Elephas maximus indicus: one gene and its partner. The protein of the gene in region 1 interacts with the protein of each later gene in a biochemical or structural test. Links are inferred from orthologs where the notes say so. Each region holds a gene or a part of one and is shown on either strand. Other genes may lie near its edges.

The links.
Region 2: of the proteins of ATM (region 1) and RPA2, one has a biochemical effect on the other in vitro, tested with the Homo sapiens proteins (3 studies listed by BioGRID). The link is inferred for Elephas maximus indicus from reciprocal best matches to the Homo sapiens genes ATM and RPA2.

The regions. Positions count from the first base shown.
Region 1 is NC_064825.1:11,424,432-11,434,925, forward strand, and holds the start of ATM (serine-protein kinase ATM), read right to left. Parts: upstream 4,523-10,494; 5' UTR 4,163-4,522; intron 1-4,162. Other genes in the region: protein NPAT, read left to right, coding at 4,817-4,853.
Region 2 is NC_064821.1:68,318,945-68,329,491, reverse strand, and holds the start of RPA2 (replication protein A 32 kDa subunit), read left to right. Parts: upstream 1-6,395; 5' UTR 6,396-6,610; coding exon 6,611-6,620; intron 6,621-6,881; coding exon 6,882-6,988; intron 6,989-10,547. UniProt on the Homo sapiens protein: As part of the heterotrimeric replication protein A complex (RPA/RP-A), binds and stabilizes single-stranded DNA intermediates that form during DNA replication or upon DNA stress.

The DNA of each region.
Region 1 (10,494 bases):
AATTAACTTGAGACACAAAAGATGATTAGAAGACAGCCCAGCAAAGAATAAGGAAAACAGCACGTAAGCATTTAACAGTAACAGTCTGAACCATCTTAAAAGTACCCTCATATGTAGTAACTTGTCATTTTGCTGACGCAAAAGCTTAAGTTGCTCATGCTTTGGAACTGATACGTAGGAAGCTACCAGAGCTAGTAAGTCTTGCCTGGCACTCAACATCTCAACTGGCTTCATGGTTCTCATTTAATAAATAAAAGAAGGAGGAAATGATATTCCTGTTTTGAAATGAAATGAAGGAAATCATGTTATAGTGGTATTCCTTGTAAATATCAAAGGTCAACTATATTTCACTCTGCCTCGATTCCATTGTAGTAGCTTCTCTCATTTTGAGTTCTCTAATATAATCAAAACGGGAAACCCTGGTGGTGCAGTGGTTAAGTGCTATGGTTGCTAACCCAAAGGTTGGCAGTTCAAATCCACCAGGTGCTCCTTGGAAACTCTATGGAGCAGCTCTACTCTGTCCTATAGGGTCGCTATGAGTCGGAATAGACTCGACAGCAGTGGGTTTTGGTTTTAATATAATCAAACCCTCTCTGGATAAATTTTAATAAAAAATTATTGTAAAAAACAGCATTCAATTGTTTCTGATATATATCATTTCTGTCAGCCTACAAACGTTCATTATAATCATAAAAATATGTACATCTGTATGTACGTTACATCTAAATGTACACTTATCTCAAAAGGAAAACAGGCAGGAAAACGTCCTTCTATCCATTCTTCCAAATTCTGTTCATTCTTTCAAGATCAGGTATGTTTCTCTAGCCCTGACTAATCTCACAGAATCTTAAAACTGGGAGTAACTGGGAGACAAAATTACTATCTTCTCTTTGAGCATTCTAATAAGTGCAAACTACCTAACAAGACCACCCATTTCAGTGGCAGGTAGCTCTAATTCTTTTCTCCATTTGCATTAATTGATATTTCTTCTGACCCTTATCTCTATTAAAACATCCAGTTGACTGTTGTAGTTTACAGATTATTTACAAGATTTTCATTTTCATTTGATTGTAACTTCATAAGGACACAGACTGTCATTTTCATTTTTCCATTTTTTACGACTTATCTGGAAATCCTTCCCCTTCCATCTTAAAGACTTCCTAACTCAATCAATAAGGAAAATGAAATTGGGACACATTAGCAATATGAAAACACATTAGTAATACACTTTTATTCCTAAACACACTAAAGATGTTCTTTCTGATATGAAAAGACGCATGTTTACTGAACCTGTGATACTTCCAAGAAGAAGTAGCCTTAAACTTGACTTTTTTTTTCAAGCTGTGGCTTTTCTAAATTTGTTTTTTCTCTCCTCAGTTTCTCAAAGATTAATTACTTGGAAGAAAACAAGACAGTTTAATATCAGCATTTACACAAACAGGAGATGTTCATTCACTGATAATATGCAAACACTACTGCTGGGCACCTGCTGCTTCCAGGTACAATTTAGGGATAGCTAGACATATAATGGAGCACTGGTGGCACAGTGGTTAACAGCTCGGCTGCTATTCAAAAGGTTGGCAATTCAAATCCACCAGGGAGCCCTTGGAAACCCTATGAGGAGGTTCTACTGTTCTATATAGTCACTACGAGTCAGTGTTACGGACTGAACTGTGTCCTCCCCAAAATTATGTGTGTCAATTTGGCTAGGCCATAATTCCCAGTATTGTGTGATTGTCTACCATTTTGTCATCTGATGTGATTTTCCTATGTGTTGTAAATTCTACCTCTATGATGTTAATGAGGAAGGGTTAGAGGCAGTTATGTTAATGAGGCAGGACCCAGTCTATAGATTAGGTTGTATCTTAAATCCATCTCTTGAGATATAAAAGAGAGAATCAAGTAGAGAGACTGGGATCTCATACCACAAAGAAATGAGACCCAGGGTCCTTGTGCTGAGAAGTTTCTCAACGGATGGAGATTGATGACAAGGACCTTGCCCCAGAGCCGACAGAGAGAGAAAGCCTTCCCCTGGAGCTGCCACCCTGAATTCGGACTTCTGGCCTAGTAGACTGTGAGAGAATAAATTTCTCTTTGTTAAAACCATCCACTTGTGGTATTTTTGTTATAGCAGCACTGGACGACTGAGACAGAATTGACTCAGTGGCAGTGAGTCTGGTTTTGGTTTTTAGATGTATAATGGACTAAAGAGACAAAAATCTTACCTTCATAGAGTTCATCATCTAGTAAGAGAGAATGCCAATAAACAAACTGATAAATCAATGCATAATTACAAATTATGATATATGCCTCAAAGGAAACAAAAGTACTTTGATGGAAAATGGAAAGAGGATGATTTCGGATAAACTGTCAGGGGACATCTCTCAGCTGTGGCTATAATAAACTCTAAATCAAAACGAAATGATGTCAATTATAGGAAAAGCTAGAAGACCAAAGTTTCAGGGAGGAAGGCTACCATAACCAAAGGGTCCTAAGATGGAAAAGAGTTTGTATGCTGGAAGAAATGAAAGGACAGAGGGATTAGTGAGTTATAAAAGAGTATCACCAGATGAAGTTGAACTCCATTCATACATTAATCCAGAGCTATCTAGGTTCCCAACATTCAACTGACACTATACATACGCACATATATATACAAACACACATATATATACAACAGCCTGTGAATGAGCAAATCCAACATTCCATTTTAGATCTCAACCTGATCCCTTTGCAGAATGATGATGTCTACCCTCTACCTTCCTGAAAATAACTCTGCCCTTGGCATGCCATCCTTTTCCTGTGGTTAGAAGTGTGGGTCCTGCAGTCAGACTGTATTTGTTGGAATCCTGGAAAAATTACATTCAAAGCCCTGGAATGGAAGACTGGGAAAAGGGCAGTGAGCCCTTTCAGGGGCCTAATGTGTGAGACTGGATTATTGGCAGGACTGAGGAGAGCAACACACATTCAAAGCAGTCCAGTCAGCAGAAATCTTTAAGCTATGCATGCTGTTTCCCACTCCGCTGAAAATCTGACAGGCAAGACAACTGGTTGCTATGTAATGCATACACTGCCCTTGTTTTCTAAAAGGGAGATTAAGTTTCCAACAAGGTTTCTGCCTGTAATTTTTCCACTCAGGTTATCATTCTAGTTCAAACAAATTTTGAAAATTCACTTCCTGGGCCATGACTGAACCAGGAAGAACCAGTTCAAAGCCCTGTGTTTAACACAGTGCCTGGAAAAAAAGCAAATGCTCGATAAATGCTAGCAATCATCATTATTCCTTTCCTTTCTGACTGCTTCATCGTTAGTTCCTTTTGAAGAGTGGTTCTTCTTCCACCTACACATGAAAGAAAATCCTAGTCTCCATACTTCTCACACCATGTTCTCTTGGTGTGATGTCATCCGTTCCCATCACTTCAACATGTTGAAGACTCTGAAATCTATTTCATTCAACGCCAGACCTCCCTCTCTTGTGCTTCAGGAACCTTCAACACTTTTGTGCCTTCGCATGCACTTTTCCTGTCTGGAAGGCTCCTACTATTCTCCAGGGGCAATTCTGACACTGCAAGGTCTCACCACAAACTAATCTTCCTAGGCTGAGTTCCCACACAAACCTGACTCAACTTCTCCACCATCACAATAGTCTTCTATCACATTATCACCTTGAATTGTAATTGTCTTTTCACTTAACTGCACCTGGTAAAATCAGGATACCCATGGGTGCTCACCACAGGAAAGGATTATCTCATTTATTCTCAGATGGAAGACAGCACAGCGAGGTCACACAGCTGACAGATTCCAACTCACGCAAGAATGTGCACTGGCACCGAGCCTATGTTCTTTAACCACGAGGCTGTAATTTAGGCATCAATAAATGGCTGCCGATTGGAAGCAATAATTATGAAAGAAAAAAAGTATGAAAGAAAAAAAGTCAACTAGGCAAATCTGGGCAGTAAAAATAAAAGAGGCGCGCAAGAGGGTGACGGCTAAACCCGGTGGGGGGCGGGAAAGGAGTGCAGAGAATGTGCTGAAGCAGAGGGATTAAAGGGTTTTTACTGGCAGAGTGCGTGAGGCTCGGCATCTGGGGGCGAGGACAGGTGGATTCGGTAAGGCTGAACTCCCCATCGCACAACCCCAAAACCTGCTTCCGTGCTCCTACCGCTGGGCTCTGACGGTAACGGCACTGGTGGCCAGAGTCGTATCGCCTGAGTCGGCAGTGGCTACTGCTCAAATCCGCGATCCTCTCGCCTCCTCCTGCGGCTGCAGCTTCTCGAACCCGTTATCCACGCACCTATTCCCGCTTCCGGTTCAAACCTGGCGTGACTGCGCAGCGTCCGTCTGGCAAGGAAGAAGCCACGCCGAGCCGGCGCCTGCGCACATTCTGCCCATGCGCGCCGCACATCACACGCTTTCCTTCGCTCAAAACACTCGCACTCCCAAAACATTCGGCTCCACTGAGGACACGCGCCTGCGCTTTCCTTCCCACCAATGGGGAGAGACCTTTCAATTGACGCCCGGCCTCTAGCTCCGGCTCTTGCGCTTGCACTCCACCTCCTCGCTCTCATCTGCCCCACCCCTCAAAATATGAGGACGGAAATGACGTCCGGTCAAGGAGAACGGGGGCGGGTTTCATTTCGGCGCCTTTCTTTCTCCCGCGGAAGCGATTGGCTGGCGTGGAGCAAAAGAGGCGGGACAAATTGCCGCGGGTTCAGTACCGCCAGTGGAACCGGGAGATGCGGCGCAGGAGCAGTTGCTGTGTTTGCCCTTATCTTAGTTTAGTCTCTTATTGTGATTTTTTTCTGCGGCTTCTATCATGTTGTTACCTTCGGACGTAGCCCGGCTGGTTTTGGGTAAGCGCGGACGCAGGAGGGAGGGTATTGGACCAGCCTAAGTAGGACGGAAGGACGTTTGGGGCAAAAGGTTTTCCTTGGGCGGGGAAGCTTTGGGGTTTTGCCTCTCCGCCCACAAGTTCGTACGCGGTGATTCTCCTTCAGCCGAAGGCTTTGGTAGTTTAAGCTTGTTTGTGTGGATGCTCCTCTCCTCAGAGGCTGCGTGCGAGAGGAGAGCCAAAGAGAAGCACGGAGCGGAATACGTGGGGCCCGGGTTCGGAGGGAAAGTCAGGCCTGGACACTTAGTGGGAGCCCCTGAAAGACAGTTGCCTACGTGACGGGCGACTGACGGTGCGTCTTCAACCTTGATCGCACTTTCCCTTATCATAAGCTGAGGCCAAACCGGGAAAAATAGGACTTCCCCTTGCACCTAGCTTTGTAGAACGATCTTCCTGACGCCCTTCGCATAACTCGCCTTTAGAGCTACGAATTTGGGACCAGTGGGGGTGATCCTCCCTTCCTCCCCCCGCCCGGAGTAAGTCGTCCAGTGTAGAGGTTTGAAATGCCAGTTGCATATTTTACAACAGCAGCGATTCTTACTCCTTCGATTAGCCAAAAAATTTAGAGAGGAAATGCCTTCCAGTTGAACATTTTCTAGTTAGTTTTTTCTGCATTTGAGGAGAGATTAGTTCTCTAGGTCATTTGTCTGTCAGGGTGTACTGTCTCTGTGGGCAAACGGATTTTGTTGTTTGGCTTTGAAAGAATGAAGAAGATTCTACTGCTGGGAACGTGCGCCACGTAAAGCTCAAAACCTGGGCCAGTGATTTACAGACAGAATATGTGATATCCCTAAATGTAAACACTAAACATTTGTGCTGAAACTTTCCATAGTATCCACAGCCATAATTTTATTGTTAGGAAAACCCATTTGTCTTGTTCTATACTAAGCTCTGCCCCAAAAAAGGTGTTTATGCAGGTTTTTTTTTTAAATAATATTTTGTTGTATTTTTGTTGAAGGTTTACACAGCAGTTTCGGTTCCCATTCAACAATTTTTACACAAGTTGTTCAGTGACATTGGTTATGTTCTTCACAGTGTGTGGACATTCTCATTATTTCCATTCTGGTTGTTCCGTTTCAGGGTTCTTGATAAGCACATTTTGTAGGAAACACTGGGGGAAATGGATTCCACCATCCAAGTTTGGAGAAACTCATTTAATGATTTAAGTTTAAATTAATATTTTATTACTGTTTGGTTAATCTTTTGCTGACTTTATCAGAATTGAATTATCAACATAGTTAACCTACATCTTTATCTGTGGTAAAAAGCTGGTTATATTTATTAGGCTACATGTATGCCAACAAAAAGTCCTTTCATGATATACATTGACATTCTTTCTTTTTCCTCCATGCATGTTGTTTGCTTAAAAATTTTGAGTTTGGTAATGCCTTTGCATTTTCAGTGACCGTAGTCTTAATAATGAAACAGTTTCTCAACCTTGGTACTATTGACATTTTGGGTCAGAAAATTCTTTGTTATGGGGAGCTGTTCCATGTTTTATGGGATGTTTAGCAGTATCCCTGGCCTCTATCCACTGGATGCCGGTAGCCCCCCACAGTTCTGACATTGAAAAAATATTTCCAGACATTTGCCAATACGTCCAGAGTGATGGGCAGAATCACCCCCCCAGTGAGTACTGTAGTGGTCTTAAGAAAGCAATCTAATTATCCAGTTAGAATAATTCTCACCAGCTTGTGAGTATTCATTCTCCACAAACCAGCTGCTCTACTTGATTTCTTCCTTTTTTTTAATGGATGAAAACTCCAGGTGCATTCTTGTCTTATCCTAAAAATCTTTTTCGTCATCTGCATTCTATTTTTACTGTCAATCACTCCTAGCAATATGCCTCCCATTACTTCTCACTTGTATTTTTTTCTTAGCTTCCCATGTAGTCTTCCTTCTTGCATTCCATTTTATTTACTGTTATTACAATTTTCCTAACACATTCATGCTGTGCCTCCTGTTTTAAAAGTTAAAACTATTATGCAGTTATTAAAAAACTTCCAAGTGTTCCATAGTATAATACATACCAAAACAGCAAGTCTTCCCACACTTACTGCTCTTGCTTTTTTTCCCTTAACGTTGTATTTTGGAGCCCTTCCCATATCAACACATACAAGTCTATCATCCCAAAATTTTGTGGCTTAAAATATTAACAGTTTCAGTATTTGCTCAGAATTCTTGCTCCCATCAGTACCCTTTCTCCCTCTCATTATTGGCCCTTTTTCTTCATTATTTTTTTTTGCAAATCTTTCAGTGCCTAGCACATTCCAAATGCTGTGCCAGTTCTAAGAATAAAGAGAGATCTTTACTCTTAGAGTTTACATAATTTTCCACCCTTAAAAGCACACACACGCAGCAAAACCCTTTCCTGGCCCCTGCCTCACTTTTTTTTTTTAATCTAACTCTGTATGTCACCTTTTCATAGGTCAAACTTATTCAGAGAACGTTGAGCTTTACTTGCTTGCTCTACTTTATCTTTCATTCTTCAGCATACTGCTCTGACTGTGATGTCACTGCTCCACCTAAACAGTCCGTTGGTCAACCACAACCACATTCCAGCTGTTGCCTTCTGGAATTTCTTTAAATATTGTACAGGCCAGAGTACATCAAATCGTTGTTTATTGCCTTTGGGCCACCAGTTTGGTTTTTGTTGGTATATCATACAAGGTGGGCTGTGGAACTGATCATAATCTATCTCTTCTGTTTGATCACAGCTTCTCAACATCTACCACATGCTCCAAACTACTTATCATTTCTCCAAATATTTTTATTCTGTTCCTCTGCCCGCAGTACTTTTCTACTTGTCTTTCTGATACGCTTGTACTCAATGTTGAGGCCAAGCATGATCTCTGAACCCTTTTCCAATAGGTACAGGTAGTACTTTATCTTTAAATACTCCCATAGCATCATCCGTTACTTCTTTCGTACGTTTATCATGTTTTATTGCAGCTATGTGTTTACCTACCTATTTGTTTTGTTCAAGAACTTAATCTGCAACTTAAATCCAAAATTAAAAATTTATGTGCAGGTGGAGGTATTTTTATGGGTGAAGGGTCCAGAGCTTTCTTCAAATTCCTAAATAGGTTTGTTACTTTCTGTAGGAGCCACCTTCCCTCCTGTAACACAGAAGACAATCCAAGTATTTAATACAGGGGGAATTTAATGAGGGAATTGATTACAATTGTGATAGAATAGCTGCACCTCCAAAGAACAACTTAGGTTAACAGCAGCAGGAAGCCACTACCCTAAGCAGGAGGAAGAAGAGAGATAAGGCTGGGTTTACTGGAAGATAGAAGGTGGACCTGTCTTATAGCCATATAAGAGATACTGCTCCAGGCAGAGAGGGAATAGGAGAAAAAATCTTCTACCCTCCAGTCTCCCACCAGTACATCCTGTTGGTCAAACCCAGCCAGAGTCAGCTGCCATGGGACCATGGGAAATACTGCCTGCATGAGATCAGCCCTCCTGTCAGAGCAGGTGAAGAGCAAGGGAAGAATTGAGAATGGATTTGAGGGCAAAGAGATACAAGACAGGCACACCCCCAAAAGGTCAGCAACCGCTGGTCTTATTTACCTATCGCTAAGACATTTTTAGATATTTAGTAAATACTTACGAAAGTACCACTGTGATCATGGTATTCCCCTTTGCCTACTGAATAATATCTGTACTCATTATCCTGACATTTACAACTTTTCATGATCTGAATCCATTCTGTCTTTTCAGTTGTATCTCCAGCTGTTTCCTTAATATACTTTGTGTTATATCCAAACTGGACATGTTCCCCAAATGTGTTCTTCATATATGTTTTCTATCACTTCCTTTGCGATTTGCAGTCATACTTTAAGACTCACCCCTTGAAGTATAGACTAGTTTCCCCCAAGCCTGGTAGAAATTTCTCTGGCCCCTATACTCCCATGAAGCAAGTTATTACAATTTCTCTTAACATTTTTGCTTTATGCTATAGTTATTTGTTTGTATATGTTCTGTTACCTAGTAGATCATAACTTTTTTTATACACAGAGATTTTGTCTTTTTATTTGTGTATCTAGTAATATAAAGTGCTGTAAGTTAAGTTTTCCTAAGAATTTTTTCTTTTTAAGGTCATTGTCTTAATCATCCAGCACTGCCATAACAGAAATACCACAAGTGGATGGCTTTAACAAAGAGAAATTTATTCTCTCACAGTCTAGTAGGCTACAAGTACAAATTCAGGGCGTCGGCTCCAGGGGGAGGCTTTCTCTCACTGTCAGAGCAGGAGGAAGTTCATTGTCCTCAATCTTCCCCTGGTTGAGGAGCTTCTCAGACCCTGTGTCCAAAGGATGTGGTCTGCTCCTGGTGCTGCTATCTTGGTGGTTTGAGGTCCCCAACACTCTGCTTGCTTCTCTTTCCTTTTATCTCTTGAGAGATAAAAGGTGGTGCAGGCCACACCCCAGGGAATATCTTTTACATTGGATCAGGAATGCAGCCTGAACGAGGGTGTTACATCCCACCCTAATTCTCTTTAACCACAGACAGAGATTATGATTTATAATACATAGGAAAATCACAAAATGGAGGACAATCACACATGGCCTAACCAAGTCGACATATATTTTTGGGGGGACACAATTCAATCCATGACAGTCGTTACAAACCAAATCTGTTGCCCTCAAGTTGATTCCAACTCATAGTGACCCTATAGGACAGATTAGAACTGCCCTATAGGGTTTCCAAGGAGCAGCTGGTGAATTTGAACTGCCAACCTTTTGGTTAGCAGCTGAGCTCTTAACCACTGCCTCATCAGGGCTCCAGGGTCATTAAACCACTAATATTTCTGGCAATTAGTAGCATATGTAACGGTGATATTTTTGGGGAGGGGGCTTTACTAAGGAGCCCTGGTGGCACAGTGGTTAAAGCTCTCAGCTGCTGACAAAACAGTTAGTGGTTCAAAGCTTCCAGCTGCTCCATGGGATAAAAGCGTGGCAGTCTGCTTCTGTAAAGATTCACAGCTTTGGAAACCCTATGGGGCATTTCTACTCTGTCTAGTAGGGTCCCTGTGAGCCGGAATCGACTGGATGGCAGTAGGTGAATGGGCTTTACTATCGCTTGCTTTCATCAGGCTTTTCTTATCTTTTCCTCTGTGGAAACAAATAGGAAGAAGAGAAGCCAGGCTCTTGCATCCCACTTCCTAAAATCTGATTACTCTTGATGTACTGTATCCTATACAGTCACTATGAATTGGAATCACCTGGAAGGCAGCAGTTTGGTTTGGTTTTGATATAGTTAAGGAGCCCTGGTAGTGCCGTGGTTAAAGCGATCAACTGCCAACTGAAAGGTCAGCAGTTTGAAGCTACTAGCAGCTACACGGGAGAAAGACGTAGCCTGCTTCCATAGAGATTTACAGCCTTGGAAACCCTATGGGGTCACTATAGTTAGGATCTTATCTTTCATTCTTTTTTTCAGTTGTTTCCCCGTTACTCATTACTACCCCCACTGAAGGCAAGCTGAAGACAGTATGATTTTTATAAAAAGGAAATGTGGGCATGTTTTCTTATTTATTTGAACACCTCTGTCAGTATGTTTATACAAAAACTGTAGTACTTATAGTCTGAAATTGTTTT
Region 2 (10,547 bases), on another chromosome or scaffold:
AGTATTTTGTTCTGTTGTGCATAGGGTCGCTATGGGTCAGAACCAACTGGATGGCACCTAACAATAACAACAATCTATCTCACTACGTCATAGTGATAGGATTTACCACAAGTAGGGAAATCACATCAGGTGACAAAATGGTAGACAAGCATACAATACTGGGAACCATGACCTAGCCAATTTGACAGATATTTTGAGGGGACACAATTCAATCCATGACACATACAAATGTTACTTTCTACATGTCCTGTGATGTGGAAAGGTTGGGAAGTTTCTTCAACTGTAAAATGGGATAACAGTGCCTGTCTCATTTGATTGTTGTGAAGATTAAGTAAAGCAAGACCTTTTGGCCCCACCCTTTGACCCAGAGGTACACCCAGGTGCTATGCTCTTTGCTCCAAGAGGAGGAAGCTTTGTTTTTAGAAGCTGGCCAAGGCATAGTCACGAGCTGCCACTGGAAGCAGGAGGGGGATTAGCCTGGCAAGGCCATCTGTCCAACATGGAAGGAGCCAGGGTCTCCTGATGCTGGCTGATTATTTATTTATTTTATTATTATCATTATTTTAAGGTAAATTTTTTAAAATTTATTTTTATTGTACTTTAGATGAAGGTTTACAGAACAAATTAGCTTCTCATTAAACAATTAGTACACATACTGTTTTGTGACATTGGTTACCAAGCCCAAGGCATGTCAATACTTTCCCCTTCTCTACCTTGGGTTCTCTATTACCAGCTTTCCTGTCTCCTGCCTTGTAGTTCTTGCCCCTGGGCTTGTGTGCCTTTAGTCTCATTTTGTTTTATGGGCCTCTCTAGTTTTTGGCTGAAGGGTAAACCTCAGGAGTGACATCATTACTGAGCTAATAAGGGTGTCCAGGGGCCATACTGTTGGGGTTTCTACAGTCTCTGCCAGGCCAGTAAGTCTGGTCTTTTTTTGTGAGTTAGAATTTTGTTCTACATTTTTCTCCAGCTCTGACGGGGATCCTCTATTGTGATCCCTGTCAGAGCAGTCAGTGGTAGTAGCCGGGTACCATCTAGCTGTGCTAGGCTCAGTCTGGTGTAGGCTGATCACACCCAATAACCAAGTAGAAGGCTAATAACAACAGAATGTTTCAAGAACTACCAAGTTAACTGGGTTAATTCTGCAGACTCTTTTTGGAAGTAATGCCTCCAGGTGGACCTATGACTATAGTAAAATATTGTATTAATAAAAATATATGAATTTTCAAAATTGCAAAAGGCCCCATTAATATATCAGGCAAAACAATGGGCTCTATAATGCTGAAAACACATCACTTAGAAGAGAGACACCAGGTTGCAAAAAAACCTAAAGCCTGAGCCCTGGTGGCACAGTGGTTAAGAGCTCGGCTGCTAACCAAAAAGGCCGGCAGTTCAAATCGGCAGCCGCTGCTTGGAAACCCTGTGGAGAAGTTCTACTTTGTCCTATAGGGTTGCTATTAGTTGGAATTGAAGCAGGCAGTCTTGAAAGGGTTATTAACCATCCCATAATAGTTGTTTTTCAGTAAAGCCTACTCTTGCTACACTTTTGTTACAACATTTAAAGCACTTCACTATGATTGGTCAAATCCCTGTGTTTCTTCTCCTCTCCTGGCAGCAGGCGGAGGGGACAGGGCACTGACTGCAAATCTACCTGCTATATGACCTTCCTGGGGTGGCAGTAGTGAGCTGTTAACATTTTTTTTAGGGCTGTGCACAATATTTTTAGAGCTGTGCACAGAAATTCATTCACTAAAATTATGCGGACTGAGCAGGCATCACAAGACTGAAGATCTTCCCCTCACTGTTCATACATATGTATGTCACTCCCTATAAAGTGAGCAAATCTGCCCTGGTTCAGGGAGCTGGCAGCCTTAGGTCAGGAGACCCTGCTTGCCTCCCAGGTTGCAAACTGTGAATAAACCTTTCTGTTTTTCCAACCCTGTGTCTGGCTGACTTCAATTCGCTAGTCTGCTTGGCAAGAACCTATGAGTTGACGGCTTCAGAATCGACAACAGGTTTGGTTTTTTTTTGGTTTATATTTTTTATATATACTATTTCATATAAACCTGTTTGTTTACCTGTACGGACATAACAAAAATGAAGCTCAGCCTGGTAATTTGTTGCCTGGGTGAGAAACCCTTTGAGACATAGGAGTAGGTCTTGAGTTATGACCAAAAATCAATTGATTAAAGACCCAGATACAGTAACCTCACCTGGGTGAAGATGGCATTTCCTTTTCCTTTGGTTTTGGTCAGATTTCTGAAAGCCCAGGAAGGAATCAAAATATTACATAAACTGTAGGAGGAAAACAAAATAAGTAAAGCAATGATTCTAGGAAGCATGGGACAAGAGGATCCAATTTTTGTGGGGCCTGAAGCTGATATAATTTGTGTGGTCCTTTATCTAGAGAAAAGAAGGGGCCTTGGGAGGGGCCATCAAGCAAAGGACTCTGAAACGTAAGCTTCATTAGCTTCACAATAAACGATTGTTTTGGTATGTGTTGTCTGCTCTTACAGATATTTGATATGTTCATAAGAATCAGTCATACTAAAACTTTAACTGCAGTTTAAAATTTTAAGGATATTTAGTTGAGTCTGTAAACAATGTTCACATACTCAAAAGGTTGGTTTCAGGTTTTATTGGCTAAAAGAATTCAATAAATTGAACATTAAACAAATAGTTGTGGATGTTCTTCTGTACATATAAGAGCCTCTCCATCAGTAATAGAGAATTCTATCAGTATTAGCCAATTCATAATGACCATTACTGGTAGAAATAATCAGGACCATATAAAACAGAAAATGACAAAAACTCCACCCAGTAACATTTGTCTTAGCCCCCCCCCACCCAAAAAAAGAAAGGAAAAAATCACATCTTATGTATAATGTTGGAAACTGCAAAAAGTCACCCTGAATCAAATTGTACTTGATAGATAATGCGCACCCATAAAACTACAGTACCAGATGTGTAAAATTGGGCATGGATCAAATTTAAACGATGAATTAAACCCTCATTGTAAAATTCGCCCAGCAAAGAATTGATCCACATACAAATAATTGTAAAAAAAGAAAAGTGGAAAAAAAATTAGAAATCACTAAATTGAACTGTATAGAAAACTGAACAGAGAATTAAGTCTCAATGAAAAATCCATCAATGTCAGAACAATTCTGATGAAAATATTTGTATTCATAAAGCGGAGGCAAAATGACCTCGGGGATTATAACTGTAGATCAAAAACATTCAGAGAGAATGCATATTGAGCACCTAGCACAGATATAATGGATGTACCTGGCACGTGGTATGTACTCAATAAACACCAGATTGTTTTAAAAGATAATTTCTCTTCTACTTACTCTTGCTGCAATTTCCCTAGCAGTCCCAAGTCTGGGAATAATGAACTATGCCCCTACCTGGAAGAGGGTAATTAAAGAAATCCCTTCTATGTGACAGGAAGACTCCCAATTAAAACCAAACCTTGAGAGATGAAATTACTACACACACACCAAAAAAAGGGAAACACTATTTTAATGCTGATTCAGACCTGAACCCTCTATTCAACTTACCTGCTCATGGAGGTGTTGAAAAGATGTGAAATCATATTTTGATGGTTATTATGCTCTAAGTTAAGACATTCTGGCTTCACTTTGGATTTTATTTTTAAGCGTATACTCTCCTCAGCTGAATTTATAACTAGTTGAACCCGAAATGAGGTAGATTAACCTAACATCTTAAATTTCCCAGAATAGTCTTAATTCATAACATTTTATCCTAATATTCCCATAAATATGCTTTTACTTGTCATACTATGTATGTTCTAATCACTTTAGGATTAATATAATAATGTCATCTCGTTTCTGCCTCAGACTTCTGTCTTTGGCTATATCTTGTTTAATTCTCAGTGATGGTTTGGAAGCTTACAGAATTTATATAAGAAAGAGATGACACACAAGCAACATCTGGCTCCCAAGTATCTTTTGTTTGGCCCACACGGTCTTGAGACAGAATTAGGCTGAAGCAGACTGGTTGGGCCCCCAGCACATAGACTGGGAAAAGGTCGAACAGGACAGACAGTAGAATAAACAACCTGACCTACTGGCACTGGTGCAACCATAACCCACCGCCTGGAGATTAGAACGGAACGCACAGGCCCTGTGGGGCAGAATGTTTCAGCTGCGGGGTGACACGAACTGAAATGTTCTAGGATGTTGCAAATAAATTGTTGATGTAGAGCTTGCAGGTCTCCACAGGTGCAGAGCACATGCAAAAGAAGTTAAGAGTGACCACTGTTTGGCCTTCCCGAGCCCGCAGAAGCGGGCGATGTGACAAAGAAAACCAGTGCGCCTGTATCACATCCCATAATGAGTCATGTCAAGGGGAACCAAAGGACTTCCATCTTGAAGAAGTGCCACATGTGCACCTGCATTTACCTAACCCAACCCTTCCTCAGAAATCTCCGCCCTTTCCCCCGAAAACCTCATGAATAAACATCAATACCCCTCCTTGTCTAAACCCTTAAATAGTTGGCTCTTAGGCAAATCGGGGAGACAGTCTCTCCGAAGGTTCTAGCCCATACTGTTTCCTTTTGCTAGCTGCCGGCAAAATTAATTTGCTTGTGTGACTCCAGGCTGCTTCAAATAGTCTTATTGGGCGTCACGGATCTGGTTGGGTTCAACTGAGATAGGGGCCCTGGGTAACAGTCTTTTTTAAATGATTAATTTGCAAAAGCTTACGGTTCAAAAATTTTCACATAAAAATCCAGATATCTGGCTTCTACTAAAAAGCTGGCAACACTGGGCTCATACTCTTTATATATCAGTAACGATTTATCATTATGCTTAGGTGGTTATTCGTCTTACTCTGGTGAAAAAAAGTGAAAATTTAGTTCCTCTGTTATCCAGTCCATTACATTTACGGTTTTACTGACTGTCCCCAGTGGTCATTTAAGCGTGTGACCCAGTTCTGAGATGTTCTAGGAGGTATAGTAATTGCACTGGTTGATGGAATCAGACTTGCTGGCTTTGGATGCAGACTCAGTTTTCTCTTCTGTAAAATGGGGGTGTCCTAGGGTAAAATTACCAGAAAGTGATAGTAAAGCAAAAAGAAAGGTTTTATTCAGCATATTTTTGAAGGCACAAAAGTGGAAAATGGGCATGCATGCTGCCAGAGCCATGTCTGCCCAAGTCCAAGGAATATTACAGAATCATCAGTATATATTAACATTATGAATGGATAAAATCGCTGAAAGCTTCATCTTTTCACATACTGGCTAAAAACTGCTAAATTATCATGATTCTACGTTTTAAATTGTTTTTCTTAATAATCATTGGTAGGGGTTTCAGTGATGACAGTCAGAAGAGTCTTCATTGGTCCAACAACTCCTACTATTTACTAAACCCTAATAAAAAGACATAAGAGTGGAACATGTGTGGGTCTTTAGTGCTGCGTGTATGTGAGAGTTTCCCTAAAAGACGTTTTCCAAGATTGTCCTAGCTATTGTTTTTATACCTCAGGGCCCAGTTGATGTGTCCTTAGGAGTCCAGCTCCAGCTAGGTTGAATTCTTTATGCTCAAGGACAGGAAATAACGGCTTCAATTTTATCTCCTAAATGAGGAGACAATAACACTACCTACCTTATAAAAAAAAGAAAAACCTTATAGGGTTGAGTTAATAAACGTAAAATGCTTAAGACAGTGCCTGCAATTTTATAAATGCCCAGGGACCATGTCTAGTATATTTACTGTTAAATCCCAGTGTCCAGCACAGAGCCTGGAACAGGAGGCATCAAATATTTTCAAGTAAATAAATGGAAAAAAAAAATCTAATAATCTAGTAGTGCTTAGAGCAAACCAGACATTGTCCACTGTCTATAGGAAGGGCACAATCATATTATTTGAAGAATACTGGAATATAAAATGGCTGTCTTTTGAGATGGATGTCGGGCCTGGATTTACACTGAGTTGGGGAAAGGGCATCATGGGGAAGAGGATGTAAGTGTCTTATGGCCTCGCTAGGAAGAATCACAAAAACAGAGTCGCTAAACAGGGACAGAACTTGGCTCCTTCTGGAGAAGAACAAACAATCCCACGAGGTGCTACAAGGCTACTACTGTGAGTCCCTGGGGTGTGCAAATACGCGGGTTATGAGCGCAGAAGCAAGAATTTCACCACAGCGCTTTAGGTTAGGGCGTCAAAATGGTGACAGTTTGGCGGGAACAGGAAGGCGCCCAGCAAAGGAAGTGACGTAAATGTCACTCATTTGGCAGGGGTGCGGTTATGCGGCCTAGAATTTAGAACTATTATTTTGATTGGTTGTTTTCTTGGGCCCTCTTCCGGCTTTCCGCTTCCGTCTGCTAGGCCGGTCTCGCAGCTTCCGGCCCCTCAGGGAGCAGAGAGCGAGTTTTCAGACACAGGGCCAGAGAAGACAGGAAGAAGCGTAGGATTCGCGAGCTTTGATTGGCTGAAGGTAGAAGCGTCCTGGACGCTGATTGGCTCCGTCGTTCGCGGGAAGGAGTTTGTGGCGCCAGCGAAAAGTAGATACGCTGCTGCGACAACTGTAGGGCCCTGAGGTGCCCCGCCGACTCACTAGATTGGATCCTGACGGAGTCACTACCAAAATGTGGAATAGTAAATATGGGTGGGGCGGAGGAGACTGAGAATCGCGAGGAGGATTTAGCGGGACGGAGAGCCTGGGGACGGAGAGACATGGGGAGGGGGAAGGGGCAGGAACCGGAGAGGCGGGCGGGGGAGTTCGCGGGGCGGGGAAAGGTGCTGAGGAACATTCGGGAGACGGTGGGAGTGTTTGAGAGGGGTGAGGTTTGTAAGGACTTGTGGAATTTTCAGAGGCCTGGAAAGCGGCGCAGATACTGATAGTGTTGTTTGAAACAGGTGGATTTGAAAACTATGGCAGCTCCGCCTATGGTGGCGCCGGCGGCTACACACAGTCCCCGGGGGGCTTTGGGTCGCCCACACCTACTCAAGCTGAAAAGAAATCAGTAGGTTCAAAGGGTGTTTCGTTTTATTCTATCCTGTTCTAAAGCTCGTAACTCGTCTATGAGAGAAAATTTATGCGGCATATGAAGGGTATTAAATATGAACTGGTTCGGTAATTACCGGTTATTGCTCATGTTTTCTGTAATTAGGTGCTGTAAGTTTTAAAAATGAAATCTTCCCTAATTTTGCATCCATTGTTTCCTTGGCTTTGTTTTGAAATTTATCGAAATAGCCATGAATCCGTGGGAAAACTCTGAACTTGTGTTTAATGCATATTTTGCACTCTTCATGTATTCACGTAGCCAGGAGGTGAAACACGGAATAGGGGTGGGGGGAAGAACATGGGTTTTGAAGTCAAATAGACCTGTGTTTTCTTGCTCTGACACTTTACTTGGGAGTCAGTTTTGGACTTATTAAATGGGGTTGATAATATATGCCTCACAAGGTTGGGACTTGATATGTTATATTACATAGGAGCCCTGTTGGTGCAGTGGTTAAGAGCTAGGGCTGCTAGCCAAAGGGCAATTCGAATCCACCAGCCGCTCTTTGGAAACCCTATGGAGTAGTTCTCTTTCCTGTAGGGTCGATATGAGTCAAAATCAACTATGGCAACGGGTTTCGGTATTTTTTGTTTATATTTTTATATGTACTATTTCATATAATCCTTTTTGTTTACTCCATCGTACGGCAGAGGCTCAGGGAGGTGAAGGAACTACCCAAGGTTACAAAGCTAGTAAATAGCTAAAACCAGGACAGTGCACACATGATGCTGTGCAAATCCAAATCTGGTGGGCAGCCTTTTCTCTAATTGTAATTTTCTTTTTCCCAGGAAGACCAGAGGAGATTCCAGTCTTCTAGCTTTGTCTTCCTTGGGGTTGTGAAGGAGAAAACAGGTGGATAGATACTGGTTCTCGTCCTTTTATTTATCTCAGAATCCCTAGCTCAGACTGTGTATTAAGATAGCTTAGTCACAAGTTGGGGACTCAAACCCAGAGGTCATGTTTTTGAATCTAGTGCTTTTTCTACAGTAAATTAGATAAATGTGCCTGTCTGAAATATCCCCTGTTGAGTATGAACCTGTTATATTTGGTTGAACCAAACTAAGAGCCAGTATGGCAAAAACGTGGATTCAGAGCCAAACAGTCCTGCAGACCTATGTTCAAATCCTAGCTGCTAAGCCCTGGACACGTTACCACCTCTTCTGTAAAATATCTATTCTTCAAGTTGTTGAAATATATAATGTATATCAGTTGCTGTCAAGTATTTTTTCATAGTTGACAATGAACCACAGGCAACTCTGACAGTACGATATGAAACCACCATTTTTATAAGGTCTGCAGGACCGTCTGGCTCTGAATCCATGTTTTTGCCACCGTTACCATACTGGCTCTTAGTTTTCTTAATACTGAAGACGTGATGAGAATCTCAGCTGTGATAGGTGAAAACAGAAAATATAGTACATTATTTGTGAGAGAAAAATCCTGGGGCCTGTGTAGATTCTACGTTTGTGAATACTGATGTATCATAACTTCACCTGTGGATACAATAAAGTAAAATGGGAAAACATACTAGATTCCTTCACATCCTTTTGAAGGTTATTGCAGGTATGAGCAGTGAGGAGCAATAGTTAATAAAACTGCTAATGCTGAGTGCTTATGATGTTCCAGGCAATATTCTAAGTATATTACCATATTATTGCATTTAATTTTCCTGACTTTATCATTCCCAGTTGAACAGCTGAGGAAACTAATGTGCATATGAGTTAAGAAACATGTCCAAGAGCACACTACTCTTGAGTGGTTGTTGTTGACTGCATTCGGGTTGTAACCTTAACCCCCAAGCTTAGTCTCCTTCCTTCGTGACATAGCGGTTAGCTAGGCTTACTTCATACCAATTCCGGGTACTCATCGTTCAAAATTATGCTTCAGCAAAGTGAAACATTGCCAGCAGCATGAATCTTTAAGTCAAAGCTGGGACTGCTAAATCCATGAAGTCTATTATGTTCTGTCTTACAGTTATTAAGTTACTTTTTATTGATTTTGGAAAGGAAGGATTCTAATGTTTAATCTTCCGTGGCTTTTCTGCCTCATACATAGTCCCTCTGTGAGCCCTTAGACTAGAATGCCCGTCCTTTACCCACTGTTTTTCCACTATCAAAATTCTCATGCATCAAAGTCCAGCTCAAATGCTGGAGAGACTTTTTGAAATTCCCTAGGCAGAATTAGTGAGTTTTTCTGAGATGGCATAGCATGTGTAATTCTGTAGTATATCAAGATCAGGTTTGTTGTTTACATTTGTATCTTCCCTAAATTAGGAGTTACTCAAGGGCAAATTCTACCCCATCTTTATATTATTCGGTTTACCTTGGTAGGCAGAAATAAGAGTTTACAGTATTGCCAGGCTGTGGTAGGGTGTGATTTGAGTGTCCTCACTGAACATGCTTCTGCCATCCTCATTCTGTTTCTTCCCTTTAAGATGTCCAGTGTGGTGACTGTCACAACATCTTCCCTAAAGGAAGCTATACTTTTTAACTTTTTGTTGTATTTTATCCAAGGCCTGGAGCAATTCTCTCTAAAGTGCTGCCTCTCCTGGGCATTTTCAGACCTTTTCCCAATAACATCTCATCTTGTTGGTGGCTTGAATACCAACTCTAGCCTGCCTCCAGCCTGAGGCTGGGGTTTCCTCTTAGAGCTGTCTCTGGCAGCACGTTACGCTTTCATATGCTGTCGCACTCTGGCTGCCTCATTGTGGTGAATTCCCAGTGCAACATGAACTTACCCATTCACGAGGAGCTTGAGATTCAGACAAACTTAATATGAATTCTTATTCTGGTATTTATTAGCTATATGACCTTGGTTTCCATCTCTGTAGAGCAGGGTTAATGAGCTTCGTTTTGAAGCTTTGATGTTATATACATGTAAAGTGCTTGGCATGTACCTGTTGCCATTGATTTGATTCTGACTCACGGTGACCGTATAGGACAGAGTAGAACTGCCTTAAAAGGTTTCTAAAGCTGTAAATCTTTACGGAACCAGACTGCCCCATCTTCTGCAGAGCGGCTGGTGGGTTCAAACCCCTGACCTTTTGGTTAGCTGAGTGCTTAACCGTTGTACCACCAGGGCTCCTTAACACTAAACCCACCTAGTGCCATCGAGTCAATTCCGACTATAACCCACCAAAACCAAACCCACTGCCTTCAAGTCAATTCTGACTCATAGCGACCCTAAAGGACAGACTAGAACTGTCCACAGAGTTTCCAAGGCTGTAAATCTTTAGGGAAGCAGACTGCCACATATTTCTCCCGTGGAGTGGCTGGCGGGTTCCAGCTGTCAACTTCTCAGTAGCCAAGTGCTTTAACCACTGTGCCACCAGAGCTCCTTCCTTAACACCATAAAGCTAAAAAACTTGTCATCAAGTCAGTTCTGACTCGTAGGGACCCTATAGGACAGAGTAGAACTGCCCCATGGGGTTTCTAAGGAGCGGCTGGTGGATATAAACTGCCAGTGTTTTGGTTAGCTCTTAACCACTGTGCCGTCAAGGCTCCCTTAATACCATAGCAGG